Neodiprion lecontei: one gene and its partners. The protein of the gene in region 2 binds, or shares a complex with, the protein of the main gene of each other region. Links are inferred from orthologs where the notes say so. Each region holds a gene or a part of one and is shown on either strand. Other genes may lie near its edges. The genes, in order: TATA-box-binding protein, transcription initiation factor TFIID subunit 5 and transcription initiation factor TFIID subunit 1.

Region 1 (4,942 bases), about 29 Mb from region 2:
GTTGGAAGCATTAACATAGATTGCATAAAACAAGCTATCGAAACCCTCACTGTAGCTAATAAGAATATATGTCCAGTTGTTCAGCAATGTTTAGTCAAAACTGTCCTCAGAGCTTTAAAGCGAAAGGAACAGGAAAAAAATTAAATAAAAACATGATTAGAAATGAATGAACCTTGAAATTTTCCATTGATTAGTTTGACAAGGAGAGCATGATGTACATAAAAATTTATACATTCATTTGAGTTGATAAGAATTGGTTTATTTATATTTTTAGAGTAACAGAAAAAATCAGTTCGCAGCTTATTTTTTATAGATAGGATTAATCTTCTGGTTTTTCTGGAGGTGGGCCACAAGGCTGCAGCATTTTCTCCATCAGATTAAATCTGACGCGTGCCTTGGCTTCGTTTTCAGCTAGCGCAAAAAAATTTAGAAGGTCGTAATGCCCCATGTAAGAGCTACATGAATCTCTGTGCTGATTAACCAACCATTCAAATTTCGTTGTGTCTGCATGACCTGTCCCAATGTACTTGGATTGAAGATGTTCCAGCTGACTATGGATATTGTAACGTTCCCCCATTCCTAAATTGAACAATAACAAAATGCGTGATACATAACCTCGAAATTATAGGTTAGCGCTATTAATGGGACGCAATATTCCATAAATTCATTTATCACCGTCTGTCGTATGGCCGAATGTACTCTTGCAATATGTAATGTCAGTTATACTTCACAATATTAACAATTACTAAAATAGTGAAAAATTTCACTTGATATACTTTTCTACTTACTTTTGACAACGCTCTTGATAAGTTTCTAGTACACTTCTTGGTCTCTCTTATAAATGATTAACGAGATCAGTTTTCTAATGTATGTACAAGATTAACTACTTGGTTTTCACAAAAGTTTTGTTGATGTATGTATGCAGGTCCAGATGCCGAGTCCGTATTTTTATCAGTTTTGACACAAAACTAGACAGATATTGTCGAACGTTACAAATCACGCTTCGTCTTGAAACCATAGACTTATAAAGATAGACTAAGCGCTCCTAGAAGAGGCACTGACAATCACATATAAGGGACAGAGATATATCAGGACTACTGCTCTCACTTTTCAATTGGCGTCATGGTGGAAGACAACGGAGCAGTGGAAGTGGAACAGCTGTAGATATAGGCGCATAATTTCGCCTCATTCTCCTCTATCGCCTCGATCCCAGCCCCAAATATCGTCAGAGAGAGAAGGGAGTCTCCCGGCATATTTCTGTCCTTTAAATGTTTGCTTCAAGCGGCTCATAAGACCGCTCAGTCTATCTTTATAAGTCTATGCTTAAAACTGATGATGCACAGATAGTGGTCAAGCTGACCGCATTCAACCTATCTCTCTCACTCCGGATTGATCTTTGGCATACCTGCAACCAATGCCACTTCGGTAGAAAAACTACACTAGCAACGCTAGTAGTACAGAAAATAACCCTAATGTGTACAATTACTGAAGACAAGTTTTGTCCGTCTTGTGTTGGGTGTTTGGTCAGTTCCCTGACACACGCTGCTAAAAGTGGTTCGCAAAATGTCCCTCGATTCTGCCGCCAATCTCCACCACTAGTGGCGCTAGTAGTTGTCTGAAAAGCGTGCGCGCGGTCTACGAAGGCAGCGAGGGTGTCAGAAGTTTACTAGCGCCACGTAGGGGAACTAAAAAACGGGGACAAAACGCATACAATTTTTTAGTATACGAGCAGTGGCGAGTGTCAGGGGGCTGGTGTTTGGCTCTATTTGCGACCTGAAAAAAAAAGGAAAATGATCATCATTCTCACAATGTCCACCACCGCTGTAGGTTAGCTGGTGACGTTAAGATCTTGGCCGTGTTCGTAAATTGACTAACAGTACTCAAAATTCCCTAGGACAGAGTCAGAGCTATTCACGAACTGGGAAGCGCAAAAGAGATGAAAGATTGCTGACAGTACTGTCAGTCAATTTTCGAACACGGCCCTTATCTTACTCATCCTCACAGACGCATAAGGCCCCTGGCGGATTTCCGTCGTACTAAGACAAAATAATCACAGTAACCGAGGGCCAGTTGGACCACCTCTTATTCTTACACCGTGCCCCCCTCCCCCCCCCCCCCCTCCCCCGCCGCCAATCTAACCTATCCTGAGCTAACCTAACCCATCCTCTTGTACAGAATTATTGTTGATACCTTAACCGAAAATGGTGTCTGTTGAAAAATGAGTACAGGATCTCCCTAACTTCGGAATAGCTCATATATTAGAAGAATGAATTTGTGATATTAAATTTAAGTATGTGATTTTGTATGAATGTGTCGGCGAAGTATTAGATTATCAATATAACAGGGTAACGACACTGCACTTTCGCAAATCAACATTACTTGGTCATCAAAGTAATGTGCTAACTGGCCTTAGTTACCAAGTTCACTCGATTATCAAGATTGCACATAGTGGCAAATTATAAAATTTGTATTAAATTGAAATTTACATAAACATCCACGATGGATCAAATGCTCCCGAGTCCGGGATTCAGCATCCCGAGTATCGGCACACCGTTACATCAACCTGAAGAGGATCAACAAATATTGCCGAATGCGCTACAACAACAACAACAAGTCCAACAAAATCAACTACAGCAAATGCATCCGATGGGTTCAAACGTACACGGAATGCCAATGTTGGGTACACCGCACAAAACTATGCACACTTATGCTCCGGCATTCGCAACGCCGCAAAGTCTTATGCAGCCACAAACACCGGTAAACACTATCTATTATTTCACTCGCTTTTTCACCAACTAATGTTATAAAAGTTCTTAACCACTTAAGGATGATGTTTTGCTATTATTTTTTCATAGCAAAATATGATGTCGCCTATGGTTCAACCAGCAAGTCAAATAGCTCCCCCTTCAATCGGACCGTCAACTCCAGGCCCGATGACACCAATGACGCCTGCTTCCGCTGATCCTGGAATTCTACCCCAGCTTCAGTATGTTCCCATTGGCTACTGAATGTCTGTTACTATTTGTTAAATTCCTAATTATTCCTTAGGAACATTGTGTCAACGGTGAATCTCAACTGCAAGCTTAACTTGAAGGAAATTGCGCTACATGCTAGAAACGCCGAGTATAATCCGAAACGATTTGCAGCAGTTATAATGAGGATAAGAGAACCCAGAACTACCGCCTTGATATTCAGCAGCGGAAAAATGGTATGTACCGGCGCTAAAAGTGAAGAGGACTCTCGCCTGGCTGCAAGAAAATATGCACGTATCATACAGAAGCTTGGATTTCCAGTGAGTACTTGTATGTTGTCAAATTTCATATGATGAGATCCGTTTCCTGTACGAAACTTATTAAATTTTTATTAGGCTAAATTTCTGGATTTCAAAATTCAAAATATGGTTGGAAGCTGCGATGTCAAATTCCCCATCAGATTAGAAGGACTTGTATTAACGCACGGCCAATTCTCTTCGTATGAACCAGAACTATTCCCTGGCTTGATATATCGAATGGTTAAACCCCGTATCGTGTTGCTTATATTTGTTTCTGGCAAAGTTGTATTGACTGGTGAGTAATTAATCAAGAAAATCCAATGAAATATTCACAGCTTTTCGCTTGATATGAAATTATTTCTGATATTTCCGATAAATCCTTCACATTTGTCCTGCTAATAAGTTACCATTTGTCCCCAAATAGAGATTACAGTTTGCTGATCATTGTGAATACATGAGCAGTGCTTTCCAATTATTTCATGTCCAGTAATTGTAGTAATACATACCGATAATAATATTCTTGTTACCAACAGGTGCAAAAGTACGGCAAGAAATTTATGAAGCTTTCGATAACATATATCCAATTCTGAAGAGTTTTAAGAAGCAGTGATTCCCAACTGAATCTGACGATATTTTTGATACCCCGATGAAAGAATAGTCTTCTAAAATCTTTTTATTAATGCTGCTATTTGCAGAGGTGTACAGAACGACGAGTGTTCGTTATTTGTTAAAAAAGAATAACTGAAATAGCAACTACTGAAAATGTTACTGTACAAGACAATTGACATGAAGTACTATCGGTTTTTTGCGAGCACTTATATATTCTTACAGGCTGACAGGTGCCTTATGCCGCAAAGCCGTTATCTTTTATGAACAATTCTTAGATTAAGCTGTTGATTCTGGGCTTTGCCGTTAAGTAATGAAAAATAAAGTTAGTGTACCAAGTATTTTACGAATCTACTATTCCAAACCTCCCAGTAAATCAAATTTAACAAATGTGTGAAATTCAAATACACTGTAAAGGAATCAACTATGAGCACAGTTTTTTGAGAAAAGAATATGTGTTATACATAGCAGTGAATACGACATGTATTTACTGTTTCACTGCGTAGCGAGAGTTTATGAAGTAGAACTAACGGTTTCTTCTGTAAATGTTGTCTGAGTCATAGAGTTATCCAGCCTTTTTCTTATTGCTGCGACATTTTCTTTTTTTTTTTTCCTTTCAAGATGATTATTCTTTCGAATCAGATTCTGATATCTTCTGTGTTGATTCTATGATGTAGGAATAAAAATTAGATTTCATGTACCATACATCACCCGTAATAGAGAGCTGTTTAGAACAGAATTAAATTTACCTCTTTTTTCTTGAGATTCCTGTCTAGTTAACTCTACTGTTGGCAGCGAAGGTTGAGTCTCTTCGATATATAGCTCTGTAGTTTGTTCTAGAAGCTCGCTCTCTTCATGTTTTACTGCAACTGTTGGTTCTGGGTGTTCAAGTTCATCGGCCTTAGGTATTAACAAAGAAAATAATGATTGACGTTAAATTTCAGCTTTGGTCATCCAATCAAACAGGATGCATTTCGAATTCGAATAATTAAATATCTTACCGATACCTGGGATTGCATAATCAGTTGAGAAATATCTGTGAACACCTTGGTTGCATGTTCTCGT
Region 2 (7,094 bases):
TATATGTATATGAGAGCTGCACCGTGGGAGTTACGAGTTGGATGCGAAAATCTTGCATTGTCAGAATTTCATAAATCTAGTGTACGATAATTACCGCAATTGTTTGTCTTTCGATATTTCGAACCTGATAACCGATACTCAAGTCTTACCACGATAACACGATAACAAATTCAGAGTCTTTCTTTCGTCCGGCTGAATGTAATAATGATGTGGGAATAGGAACGTTGCATTTACACTTCCTTTTGCGGTGCACGTGATTTGATTATCGTGTTGTTTGTGGCATTACGTTGTATCTCGCCTCAATTACGCTGTCCGGGATTTTTACCGGTCAACAATACTCATCGACTCGTTCTAAACTTACACCTGATGCCTGCTAAACGAGTTTGAAACTATTAATCGTGAATTTCATTGACTTGACGCGATTGATTACGATACGAGAAACTTCACAAAATCTCGAAGAAAAACTTCGCACTACAACTTGAAAGTAACACTGTTTACAGTAAACGATCTTCATACCTGCATCGCGTTAATTACAAAAACTTCTGCTCGATTGTCGAAGATAAAAAAGTCGTGCCAAGGCACTGTTCTTAAAAGATGCCGTGAAGTACGCTACTGATATCAAACCGCAATTTTCAAACATGGATAAGGCCTGATAATCAAAGGATTTTTTTTGTGCCAGTATTAATCCTCTAACGATAACCTTTCGCGTGAATCAGGTGAGATCATAAAAACAACGCGATTCAATCAATTATCCTAAATCTGTTGAAAATTCTTATCAATGGAGTAATCGGAATGAATTACTGATAAAGAGGAACGTTTGAATCAGGTTGTTAAGTGCAGCGGGACTTCGTGCTATACTACGCGATTAATGTTTTTGTTTTGCTTTAGAAATATATTTTAATAGCAGTGCATAAAAATAGAATACTGTACCATCCAACTATTGAGACCATGCAGGAACATACTAGAAACTACTGATTGAAATTTTCAGGCATCAGATGACAAGGAAAATAGTTAACGCTGAATAAATTTTCTTCCGTGTACGGCCATGAGATGCGCACGACGAATGCATCTAATTTTCAGGGGAATTCCCAAACGCGTTGAATTTCCTATTTGTGTAACTCTAGCCGGACGAATTGTACCATTATCTATTTCATTTTCCGCGTTCAATATATTTTCGTTCAGCGCAAAGATGGATACTAAAAACAAGTCGGAACCAAATAATCTCACCCTTACTTGGTGTGGTGGAAATTGCTTCTTCGGAAAGTTTGATGGGAGTTCCAATCGCCAGAGAGCCGATTGTACTCAAGACCACAATGATCGATTTGTAATTAGCAAACCGACTCATGGTGAGGGAAAACTGAGAGAAGTGCGCGGACCGAATTATAGATAAAACTGGTGGTCAATGCGCTCACGCAGCCGCTTTTAAACTAAAAACTAAAGGACGCCGGGTATTCCCTCCCAATCTGATCGTAGGTTCTTTCAGATCTTTCCCCCTCCTCCCCCCCCCCCCCTCCGCCCCACCCCACCGCCGCTTAGTTCACGTGCTTCTACCATAAGCGATTAATCTCAATTACGGTATAAGGATGGCTTGCGATCAAAATCGATGTTCTTTGTGCAGTTTAATATTCTTGCACCTAGGAAACTATTCGTAGGGAATGATCCGAGGATTTCGAGCATTGAGTTGTGTATTATTTTCATCTGACGAGATCTGCCTCTGACATACTTTCCGAAGTTCAGAAATAATATACATGCTATGTTTTCATCGCTTTATCTAGAATTTTTATTTTCATTCTCGCTATGTATAAAGAACTCCATGATAACTGCTTCGCGTCTTGATAAATTGAAAATTTTTCTATAATACAAGTTTCGGAATATAAATGCTCCAGCATGGCTCGATATCGAAAAATTAATAGAAAGATGTACAGATGACTTCTGTAGATCATTACGTGGATTAATTGTTTCTCAAATATGTGTTAGGCATAAGAATTTCAATACATCATTTGCTATGTGAATTCAGAAATTTGTACAACATATGTACAAAATATGTTAGAACGTGACATTCTCATCAATTGTAAAAAAGTCTAAGGCAGAATAATATTGCTGAGCTTTCTTGCACAGGTAATTCTAAGTTGTAATTCGTGTAAGACTTGTGCATTTATAAATTCTGATTATTTACTTATAATTGTTCCCGTTTGATTGTAATTTTATTGGATTTATTTCTATTCTCTATGAAAAATTGTTAATGGTATGTTGCTATCCCTGGCAGACGATGACCTACTACTACCACTCCATACATTCAAAATCTAGATACTGTATGTCGGACTGGCGTGGAAACGTCCTTTTACAAGTCGGGCAGTTTCCTACGCCTGCTTATGATGGAAGCGGCAACCAGACACGCAGCTAAGTTGAGGGTGTATTTTATTCAAGGGGCATGTTTCGGAGTCACCATATATCTGACTGGTCAGCATCGTCAGCATGTTGCGTGTCACATGCGCTAGACAAATGGGGCGGCGAAATTGATCGTGTCTCCGGATAGCTAGCATCCTCGTTCGCGTCTGACGATTTCGATTCCTCGGATCAAAATTTAAATCACAGACGCGGTGCAGACGGGAAAAAAAACCTGCAACCATGGACAACGAGAAAAGCACAATGCTTGCAGTATTGCAGCTGTTACGGAAATACAATTTAAAGGTAAGCGTTGACTTAACCTCAAATTGCAAATATGACATGTAAACAAAACTGTACCGTCAGATTAAAATACGCTTCGGCTTTCTCCCCAGGGTACCGAGGAGTTATTTAGAAAGGAAGCAAACTTGACGGATGTTTCAGCTGAGGATAGTCAACAAACTGATTCTGAAGTTAGCAGCGTACTATCAGCTTACAAAAGCGAGGGTGATCCAGCGCTGTATGAGAAAGCCTATACCGAACTTAAGAAATTCGTCGAAGGAGCTCTGGATATTTACAAGGTTTGCGATAAGCGATCAATTCTTTGTGCATTTTTGTCCGACCTTATCTTACATTTACTTTCGCTTTCTGTAGCATGAACTTGGCACAATATTGTATCCGGTATTGGTTCACATGTACCTGGAACTTGTTTACAACAACCATTCAGGAGAAGCAAAACAGCTGCTGGAGAAGTTCAGTGGTAATTTGGAGGAATATTACCAGGAGGATCTGAAGCGATTGTCAAATGTCACAAAACGGGAACAGATTGCTGGTAATGAGCTGACGGATACTTTCAAGTGAGGATCAGAGCTATGGGGTTGATAAGAAAAGTAAGCTGTACAGGTAAATTTGTGACAGAAAATGACGATTACTTTCTTACAGGTCTAACCAGTTTATTATAAGGATGTCCCGAGACACGCTTTCCATACTCAAGCGGCATCTTCAAGAGAAAAAACATAGCATTTTGCTCAATATTATTCAAGAGCATCTTTACTTTGATATGTACGAAGGTGTCGCTCGGAACAAGCAACAGATTGAAGCAACGTCAGGCGCTGTTGTGGGGGAAGCTACGCGGCAAGGTATAATTTGAAAGCAATCAATGGTCTATGTCTTAAATTTGTTCAAATATCTGATCTTCAACTTCAAGGATTCCTTTCAATTCCATAGATAACAAGGCTAAAGTCTATTATGGGCTTTTAAAGGAACCAGATATTCAGTGCGTCCCGCCGGCTGAGGAAGAAGAAGACGATGGCGGTGGGGAGGGAGGAGATAAACCAAAGAAAAAGAAAGCAAAAAAAGATCCACTCTTTTCTAAGAAAACTAAATCAGACCCTAATGCACCTCCGGTCGGAAGAATGCCCCTACCAAATTTGTTAGTTTATTTTTGCACTTTGTTGATTCTAATCGATTTGACTTTGTATCGCTGCTTAAAAAGATTGATCGTATTTAGGAAAGATGCTGATAAACTGGAGAAGGTTAAAGCATTGAGAGAGGCTTCAAAGAGAGTGGTATTGGGGCCAGACAGTCTTCCGTCAATATGCTTCTATACTTTATTGAATTCAGTACACAGGTACGACTTATATTAAATATTTTAAATCATATCGATGATTCAATGACACTTTCGCTCATATAATTGCAGCGTTACTGCTGCAGAAGTCGCAGAAGATTCCAGTTTGCTGGCCATTGGCTTCAGTGATTCCGCAGTAAAAGTATGGAGCCTGGTTCCACAAAAATTAAGACTGATGAAAAGTGGGGATCAATTACAAGACATCGACCGCGAAGCTGGTACTCGCGACTCTTTCTCCTTTCAAAAAAATCTGCCTCTGGCTTTTCTAAGTTAATGTTTTTGCTGTTATCTTTAATCTGAATAATTCTCTTAAGACGATGTACTTGTGAGAATGATGGACGACAGGACAGCTGAATCGTCGAGAACCCTATATGGACACAGCGGACCTATTTATAGTTTGTCGTTTAGCCCAGACAGAAATTTACTACTATCTTCATCAGAGGACACCACAGGTGAGCATGACACAGTGAACATCAAGGTTCAGTTTTTATCAATGTATAAATATTGGTGATAATTGTCTTAAATATTCTACGAAAAAGTATCATCTTTTCTTAGTTTGCTCAACAATTTGCTCAACCTGACATTTCTCTTCTCGGTTCCAGTAAGGCTATGGTCTCTTCATACGTGGACCTGTGTTGTTTGCTACAAGGGTCACCTGTTCCCTGTTTGGTCAGTGAGATTCTCACCACATGGTTACTATTTCGCGACAGGTTCCCACGACAAGACTGCAAGACTCTGGGCAACTGACGCTCATCAGCCTCTCCGAATTTTTTCCGGGCATTACTCAGATGTCGATGTAAGTTGCATTTAATTAATTTTCGTACAATGCGAATCTAACTCCTTGTTGTCCTTTCCATCCTTAGGTCGTACAATTCCATCCAAATTCAAATTACGTTGCTACGGGATCCAGCGACCGGACAGTCAGACTGTGGGACTGTGTTACTGGAGGTCAGGTGCGGTTGATGACCGGCCACAAAGGTCCGATATATTCCCTAGCATTTTCCGCGGAAGGTCGCTTCCTGGCGACTGCGGGTGCCGATAACAGAGTCCTGATTTGGGATTTAGCGCACGGACATTTGGTCGCAGCCTTATCCAGCCATACAGCCACAGTACATTGCTTGTTCTTCAGTAGAGACGGTAATATCTTAGTGTCAGGATCCCTCGATTCGACACTGAAGCTTTGGGACTTTACCAAACTTGCTGAAGAAATGAGCTTGGAGGACGTTAACGTCTCGCATAATCCTGACGTCAAAACATGCGTCGAGACCTACCTCCTACGAACTTTTCCGACAAAAAATTCACCCGTTCTCACCCTCCACTTTTCGCGAAGAAATCTTCTACTAGCAGTCGGTATGTTCGAAGTATCTTAGACCAGTCCGGTTCTTCCAGTGCTCGCGATTGTCAGTGTGAATTTCAGAATGAGTAAGAGTTCATTGAACCTAAGTGTGAGGTTTAAAATTGTTTCATACTAAATGAACAATCCAGATCGAGCTTAATATTCATTTTTTAAGCTGTAACCTCTTACAATTCTATAAAATAGCAATATTTTGATAATTTTGTTAGATGTGTTATACTTCACAAAACTGTTGTATAAAATTTGGATCAGAGGTGTAAAGGATGCGAGAAAGAAGACAATACAACAAATTTAAATGATTAACGTTATTTACTCGTTAATTGCGAAAATGTATAGTATCACTTTACATTATAGTTTCACGAAATAATTACTCACGTAAATTCACAACGATTATTGTTAGATCAGCTTCATCGACCAATCATCTTCTAGCCCCTAAATACTTTAGCTCACTGAATAACACGGTATTATATTTTGTAATACATTTACATTAATATATTTATTAAATAAGAATCTACAGTAATGGGATGGATAAAATGAGAATTTTGTTAAAACTGAGTAATGAGCGTATGCTGATCCATGGAAAAGGAAAATTTTTCGCCGATAATACACAGCAGACTAGTACATTAAGAGCAGGAATATAATTTTTCATCGAATCTAACATTACAGGGGAATGCTTGCCTTGCGAGATTAGGTAACTGATTTCAAATTATAACCACGCATTATCGTTCTGTTCATATTTCCACATGAAAAGGCAGACCATTCTCAATAACGGTACGATAAAATTGTGATAGTACTTCTTTCAAAAATTTAGCGAGCTAAATTTAGGCGGTGGGGTTGCGGAATTTCTCTCCAGCATATTTCGCAGCAGCTCCAAGCTCCTCTTCAATACGAAGAATCTGGTTGTACTTTGCAAGACGCTCCGAGCGGCATGGGGCTCCGGTTTTAATCTGGCCGGTAGAAAGACCAACTACTAGATCAGCAATGAAGGTGTCCTCAGTTTCTCCCGATCGATGAGACACCATGGTTCCCCATCCGTTGCTCTTCGCTAGCTTGTGAGCATTGATAGATTCGGTAACACTACCAATTTGGTTGACCTTCAGCAGCAAACAGTTGCAGGCTTTGGAGTCGACAGCCTTCTGGATGCTAAGAAAAAAAATTTGATTAGTGAATAAGCAAAAAAAAAAAAAACTCGTCACGAATTTTATTGAAATAAACACAAAGTTTATGTTGAGAAGCCGAAGATATATTTGAGATAACTCACCGGATGGGATTAGTCACTGTGAGATCGTCTCCAACGATCTGAATAGGTGTTGCAGCAGTGATAGAGGTCCAAGATGCCCAATCATCTTGGTCAAACGGATCCTCAATTGAGACAATTGGGAACTCTTTAACGAAGTCAAGGTACAGATTTTGCAGAGCCTGTGGCTCTAGGAATTTGCTAGGATCTGAGGCTGGGTTCTTGAAGTCCAAATCATACTTTCCATCTTTGAAGAATTCAGATGCGGCGACATCCATGCCAATCTTGATCTTGCCTTCGTATCCGGCAGTCTGAAGGAATTCAGAGCGTTTGATTTCAGGTGAGGTGAAATTGGACTTGCATTATTTAATAATTACAACTTACACTCGTGTAATATTAAGTAATACTCTTATTACCTTGATAGCATCGATGATAAGATTTAGAGCTTCCTTGTTGTCCAGAATGTTGGGCGCAAATCCACCCTCATCACC
Region 3 (5,539 bases), about 42 Mb from region 2:
AACACTGCTCCGGAGAAACCATAGCTCTGATTTCTTCCTCAGTCGGCAGTCTGAAGTCTGGCTTGATTACCCACCAATTTGAGTCCATTCCTAGTTTAAAAAACGAAGGTAACAAATCACAAATTTTTTAATAATACTATTCTTTGCAGAATTTGATAGAAATATGTAAGGAAATTTTACGAGGCTGATACAGAGTGAAATGTACCTGTTCTTTTAAAATCAGCGCAAAGCTTCAGTCTCTTTCTTATACTGCTTTCACTATGCGATGGGAATGCTTTTTTAATATCATCCATTTTGATTCGCCTAGGAGTGTCACGAGATTTCCAGAATAATCTATATATGAAAACTTGCAAGAAATCTCTTACAAAGTTGTTTGCTCGTTTGGAATTTGGACCAGGAACTTCATACAACGGACACTCTTGTCCAGCAATAAATAAGGCATCTATTTCCCTCACGAAATATTGCTGTCTGAAAAATGGGCAATGTTTAGACCAGTGATTAGAGTGATTCTATTTCTACAACAACCTTTGAAGCAGCTGTACCTTGTCCTTATTATCAAGAAATCAGTCTCTGGACCATTGTGTTCATAAATCGGGGCCCTGTACATGTTATTTTCAATAGCCTGAATACTTTGGCCAGGTGTTAAGATGCCCAAAAATGGGCTGGTGTGCGCATAAGCGACCTCTCCATATTTGTAACGCATAGGCCCTTGATCCTTTCCAGCTCTTCGTTTGTAGTAATTCTTGACTTTGGAGCACATTCCAACTTGATTCATCAGAGGTGGATGTTCCTCAGAAAACTCAATGAGAACAATTTCCCCATCTCTTCCAGTCAAATCTTCAGGTGTCCTCATGAAGAAGACATCTCCACCTCCCGAGGCAATTCTCTCCTGTTCTCTTTGCTTAGCTTTCTTCTTGATGTGCTTGAGGAGAGGCAACACGTGGTGGGGACCAGTGTGAGACAGAGGTCCGTGACTGTACCTCTTTAACGGAGGTCTATGGAAATTCCTCAGTCTCATAGGTCCCATGTGTGTCTGTACGAAAGGTGCTCGCAATTCTACGACCGGTGTGCTATGCTGTATTAAATTGCCACCGCCAACTTTTAATCGTAATGTTGTTTCCGAAGAGCGAGGCATGTAGTAAGAGTCATTTGATATGTTGAATGGATCTCTATCGGGAGACTTTGGAGGTGGAGGCGGAGCATCCTCTTCAAGAACGTTGATAACTCCTGCTTTACCCAGCAAAAGTTTGCTTTTTTTCACATGAGGGTGTGGGATTTTTACCTTAGGTTGAGGCCCATTGTCTTTATGAAGAAGAGCTGGGTCTATGTCATCCGGTATTCCCAATACAATGTTTTCATCGTTTGGATCTAGGGTGAGAATCTTTGGTTTCGGTATTTTCGTCATGTGCTCAGCATCCCAGATAACTTCCTCTTCCCAGAGTCCGTAAACTAACTCCTCATTCTCCACAGGGAAAATAGAGTACCAAGTATCGTCATAGTTTTCTTCACGCTGTTGCTGCTGGCTGCCTTTACCCATCGATGCAAGTTTACTCTTAGACTGCATGTGCAGAGGAGTCGCTATTTGCGATGTAGCAAGTCGAACGTTAGGTGCTACAGGAACAGGAGTTCCTTTTCCTGGCTGGCTGAAGGCCTGAGCAGTTCTGTTACTGCTCGAAGGTACCCAACCAGCAGCATTATTCTTGCTATTTAATTTTTGCATCACTTTATGTTTTATATCATCACCATTCCACACGACATCATCCTCCCAATGCAGTTGAGACACCATAAGAAAGGAATCGTCTGGAAATGTATCCTCATCTTTTGACTTGCAGACTTCTTCAGTTTTCTCCGCAAGTTTGAACCCATAATTAAAGCCGTCACCAGTCTCTGGGACTTCCAACATGTCATACCAAATTTGGGCTGGACCGAAGCGCCAGTCTGCAACTTTTGGACCCATGTCATTGCTGTCTCCCATGTCGCCAGTTTTACCAGTTTGTTCCTTGTCTTCGACGGGAAGCAATAACTTTTCTTCATCATCTGGGATACATTCATCTGGCGATGGAGTCGGTGCGTAATGCATTTTCCACCCCTGTTGGAAGATTGACTTAAATTCTCAAATTTGTGATATTTCTCACAGCTTTTAAAACATTTTCTAATGTCAAAATTGCTTAGTAGAAGAGTACCTAACTACATTTTCAGCTAATTAAAAGCTTTTCAATATTTATTGTACCTTGAACTTAGGTTTCCTCTCGTCGTGATCAGATCCCGAGTCTGAATCCTTCGGATCGTGGTGTTTCTTCTTTTTCCGCCGTTTTCGAACACCCCGCCAAATTTGCGGAAGGCTGCTAGGTTTGCCAGGGCCAAAAAGTCGCGAGAACCTAAGGACCTTATTGGGGCGAAAATCAGGAAACAATTCCGTAACGTTGATATTTGCATATTTGGAAGGCAGCATGGAAGCCAAGGGCGTTTCAAGCTTACGCTGGCGAGCAGCTTCTGCCTCTTCAGGGGTCAGAGCTTCTTTTTCATCTGGAATGGGCGGAGGAGGCATTAACTGAGTGTCAGATTTATTGACTCCCTCCTCATCATCTGCATCGTAGTCACTGGCTGCCCTATCCTGTTTCTTGGAGGACGCTTCTGCATCATCTTCGTTTATGTCTTCAGCTAATTCGTTAATATCAGAGAAATCCAACGCTGTTGGAGATTTTTCTAGATAGTTGACATCGTCAGACTCGGATTTGACACGTGTTTTATTTTCATCTTCATTTTCTCCTTTCTCATTTTCTTTTTCATTCTGTTCCTCATTGTCTAGAGCAATCATTTCCTGCAGTAAACTGCTAAGGCCGAGGCGACCCAGGGAAGCCAAATGGCGCTTCGCCTCGGAATCTAATATATCATCCTCCAACTGACCATCTTCATCAATGTTGCCAAATAAAAATCCAGTCATATTCATTTCCAGATCCATGTCTCTGTCGTTTTCCTCGTCTGAGTCAACCATTTTCAGCAGATACAAATGAGTGTGTTTTTGAGAAACGGTGGCTTTGAATCAGTAAAGATTAACTATTTTGAGGTTAGATGGTTGGCTTTACAAGCGGGGATTACTATCCTGTATTGATACATTAATTTAGTTTTTTAGTTTTTAATCGTATTTTACGAATATTAATTTCGCACCTATAACGTCTTGTCAATGTGTACGTAATAAATTGAACTTGGGAAATCAAAAGCTCACCCCTTGTTTAGCAACATTACTCGCAATCATATCCCGTTTTTAAAGCGTTGTCTAGTTTACGCTAGTTTTTTTAGAGTGTTGGCGCCATCTGATGCAAAACAGATTCTTAGAACTAATTTTCATTTGCAGACGCATGCTGATAAGCCACTGTGATAAGCGAAATAGATTTACCATCGCAGTAGGGTAAATGCAGTGAATAATAAACTATGATGATGAGGCTGGATTTTCACGGGCGTGAAGTTGACGCAAAAACACCATGCCGTTGGTGGCAAAAGGTCGCGAGCACGGTCTTATAAACAGGTTTGGGCACTCCAATTCCCTTCCTATATAACGCAGCGTGACCGACTTGAAGCCTGTGTTTCTCAATTTGTGCACCAAAGACCGGAGCGCTGCAATCTCCGAGGCAGGTGTATGCGTATTAAGTAGGCCTCTCCCTCACTAGCGCTAGCGGCAAAAATTCACAACATCGGCTTCATTTTCGAGCACGGTTTTACAGCCGGAGTACACAGACCGATCATAAAGACCGTGGTCGCTAGTGAAAATAGATACGACGAAACGGTGAAATGCCACGAGTTTTGAACTAGGTAGTTGAGACAGTGGTTCTCAGTTGCGTTTTTATCCCAAGGATTTAAAAATCTAGAATTTTTGATTGGCAGTGGAAAAAACGGAATAAATGGGGGAACGAAAAGGAAATCACATAAAATGTAGCGATTTTTCAAGGTGAGAAAAAAATCTAATTGATTCTCATGCTTCCACAACCATGAATTCGTGCATGATTGAGACGCCGCCTATTCATACGCTTATTACCGCATAGCCCATACTGAAAATGATGGAGGGTGTCCAGGGCGTTTCATCAAAACAATGAATAATAATATGAAATGGCAACAATACTTGACTCGCTTAAATGCATTACATGCATTACCATTCTACAATAAATAGAGTAATTGGAATATTATCTTATACCTCGAATAGCTATTATACTCATACAGCTGATAAACAAACTCTATAGAATACGCTGCGAGCTACGGTACATATCGATAGTTGCAGCCGAAGAACGTTCCACGCTCTTCTGAGTGCGTTTTCTGCATTCCAGGGGTCCAATTAGTCAAGAAATGGTCACACAAAATGGTTCTGAGACGAAAGATTTTTCGCTGAAAAATAAAGTATAAAGGCTATATCTTTGCATTTTTGGCGAAAATTATCGCGATTTTGAAAAGTGCTGGAATAAATTCTTTCATGCACTATTCCGACGTAATTTTGCGAGAGAAACCGATTGGGCGCAGTCCCGATACGCTGCGAGCAACAGATCAAAAGTTAGAGCCGAAAAACGAGAACCTGTGTTTTCGACATTTTTCAGCAGGTGCTTTCTCCTTCGTAATTTCTCTCCTGTTGATCCCACGCTCTTTTCGCTGCATTTTCTGAGTTCCTGGCGGTCCAATTAGGCAGGAAATGGTCGTACAAATCGAATCTGAGACCAAAAATTTTCGGCTCCAAAAATGAAGAAAAAGTAAGGCTAACCCCTTTGCATTTTTGGCGAAAATCTTCGCGATTTTGAAAAGTGCTGGAATAAATTCTTTCGTGCACTATTCCGACGTAATTTTGCGAGAGAAATCGACTGGGCGCAGTCCCGATACGCTGCGAGCAACAGATCAAAAGTTACAGCCAAAAAACCAGAACCTGTGTTTTCGACGTTTTTCAGCGGGTGCTTTTTCCTTCGGAATTTCTCTCCTGTTGATCCCACGGTCTTTTCGCTGCAGTTTCTGAGTTCCTGGCGGTCCAATTAGGCAGGAAATGGTCGTACAAATCGAATCTGAGACCAAAAATTTTCGGCTCCAAAAATGAAGAAAAAGTAAGGCTAACCCCTTTGCATTTTTGGCGAAAATCTTCGCGATTTTGAAAAGTGCTGGAATAAATTCTTTCGTGCACTATTCCGACGTAATTTTGCGAGAGAAATCGACTGGGCGCAGTCCCGATACGCTGCGAGCAACAGATCAAAAGTTACAGCCAAAAAACCAGAACCTGTGTTTTCGACGTTTTTCAGCGGGTGCTTTTTCCTTCGGAATTTCTCTCCTGTTGATCCCACGGTCTTTTCGCTGCAGTTTCTGAGTTCCTGGCGGTCCAATTAGGCAGGAAATGGTCGTACAAATCGAATCTGAGACCAAAAATTTTCGGCTCCAAAAATGAAGAAAAAGTAAGGCTAACCCCTTTGCATTTTTGGCGAAAATCTTCGCGATTTTGAAAAGTGCTGGAATAAATTCTTTCGTACACTATTCCGACGTAATTTTGCGAGAGAAATCGACTGGGTGCAGTCCC

The links.
Region 1: transcription initiation factor TFIID subunit 5 (region 2) and TATA-box-binding protein share a complex: the UniProt entries of both Caenorhabditis elegans proteins name them as parts of the TFIID basal transcription factor complex. The link is inferred for Neodiprion lecontei from reciprocal best matches to the Caenorhabditis elegans genes taf-5 and tbp-1.
Region 3: transcription initiation factor TFIID subunit 5 (region 2) and transcription initiation factor TFIID subunit 1 share a complex: the UniProt entries of both Caenorhabditis elegans proteins name them as parts of the TFIID basal transcription factor complex. The link is inferred for Neodiprion lecontei from reciprocal best matches to the Caenorhabditis elegans genes taf-5 and taf-1.

Annotation. Positions count from the first base shown.
Region 1 is NC_060261.1:14,535,356-14,540,297, reverse strand, and holds TATA-box-binding protein, read left to right. Parts: upstream 1-2,137; 5' UTR 2,138-2,499; coding exon 2,500-2,757; intron 2,758-2,855; coding exon 2,856-2,986; intron 2,987-3,048; coding exon 3,049-3,292; intron 3,293-3,367; coding exon 3,368-3,566; intron 3,567-3,804; coding exon 3,805-3,881; 3' UTR 3,882-4,218; downstream 4,219-4,942. Other genes in the region: exosome complex component MTR3, read left to right, coding at 1-144; splicing factor 3B subunit 5, read right to left, coding at 320-577; cilia- and flagella-associated protein 44, read right to left, coding at 4,503-4,543, 4,627-4,777, 4,879-4,942. UniProt on the Caenorhabditis elegans protein: The TFIID basal transcription factor complex plays a major role in the initiation of RNA polymerase II (Pol II)-dependent transcription.
Region 2 is NC_060261.1:43,189,537-43,196,630, forward strand, and holds transcription initiation factor TFIID subunit 5, read left to right. Parts: upstream 1-2,264; 5' UTR 2,265-2,628; coding exon 2,629-2,691; intron 2,692-2,780; coding exon 2,781-2,966; intron 2,967-3,039; coding exon 3,040-3,242; intron 3,243-3,327; coding exon 3,328-3,524; intron 3,525-3,612; coding exon 3,613-3,817; intron 3,818-3,895; coding exon 3,896-4,015; intron 4,016-4,084; coding exon 4,085-4,230; intron 4,231-4,326; coding exon 4,327-4,464; intron 4,465-4,614; coding exon 4,615-4,808; intron 4,809-4,875; coding exon 4,876-5,382; 3' UTR 5,383-6,157; downstream 6,158-7,094. Other genes in the region: peptidoglycan-recognition protein SC2, read right to left, coding at 1,228-1,345; enolase, read right to left, coding at 6,188-6,509, 6,628-6,914, 7,020-7,094. UniProt on the Caenorhabditis elegans protein: The TFIID basal transcription factor complex plays a major role in the initiation of RNA polymerase II (Pol II)-dependent transcription.
Region 3 is NC_060261.1:1,233,914-1,239,452, forward strand, and holds the start of transcription initiation factor TFIID subunit 1, read right to left. Parts: upstream 3,481-5,539; 5' UTR 3,227-3,480; exon of another isoform or gene 3,104-3,226; 5' UTR 2,996-3,103; coding exon 2,231-2,995; intron 2,090-2,230; coding exon 543-2,089; intron 469-542; coding exon 206-468; intron 91-205; coding exon 1-90. UniProt on the Caenorhabditis elegans protein: The TFIID basal transcription factor complex plays a major role in the initiation of RNA polymerase II (Pol II)-dependent transcription.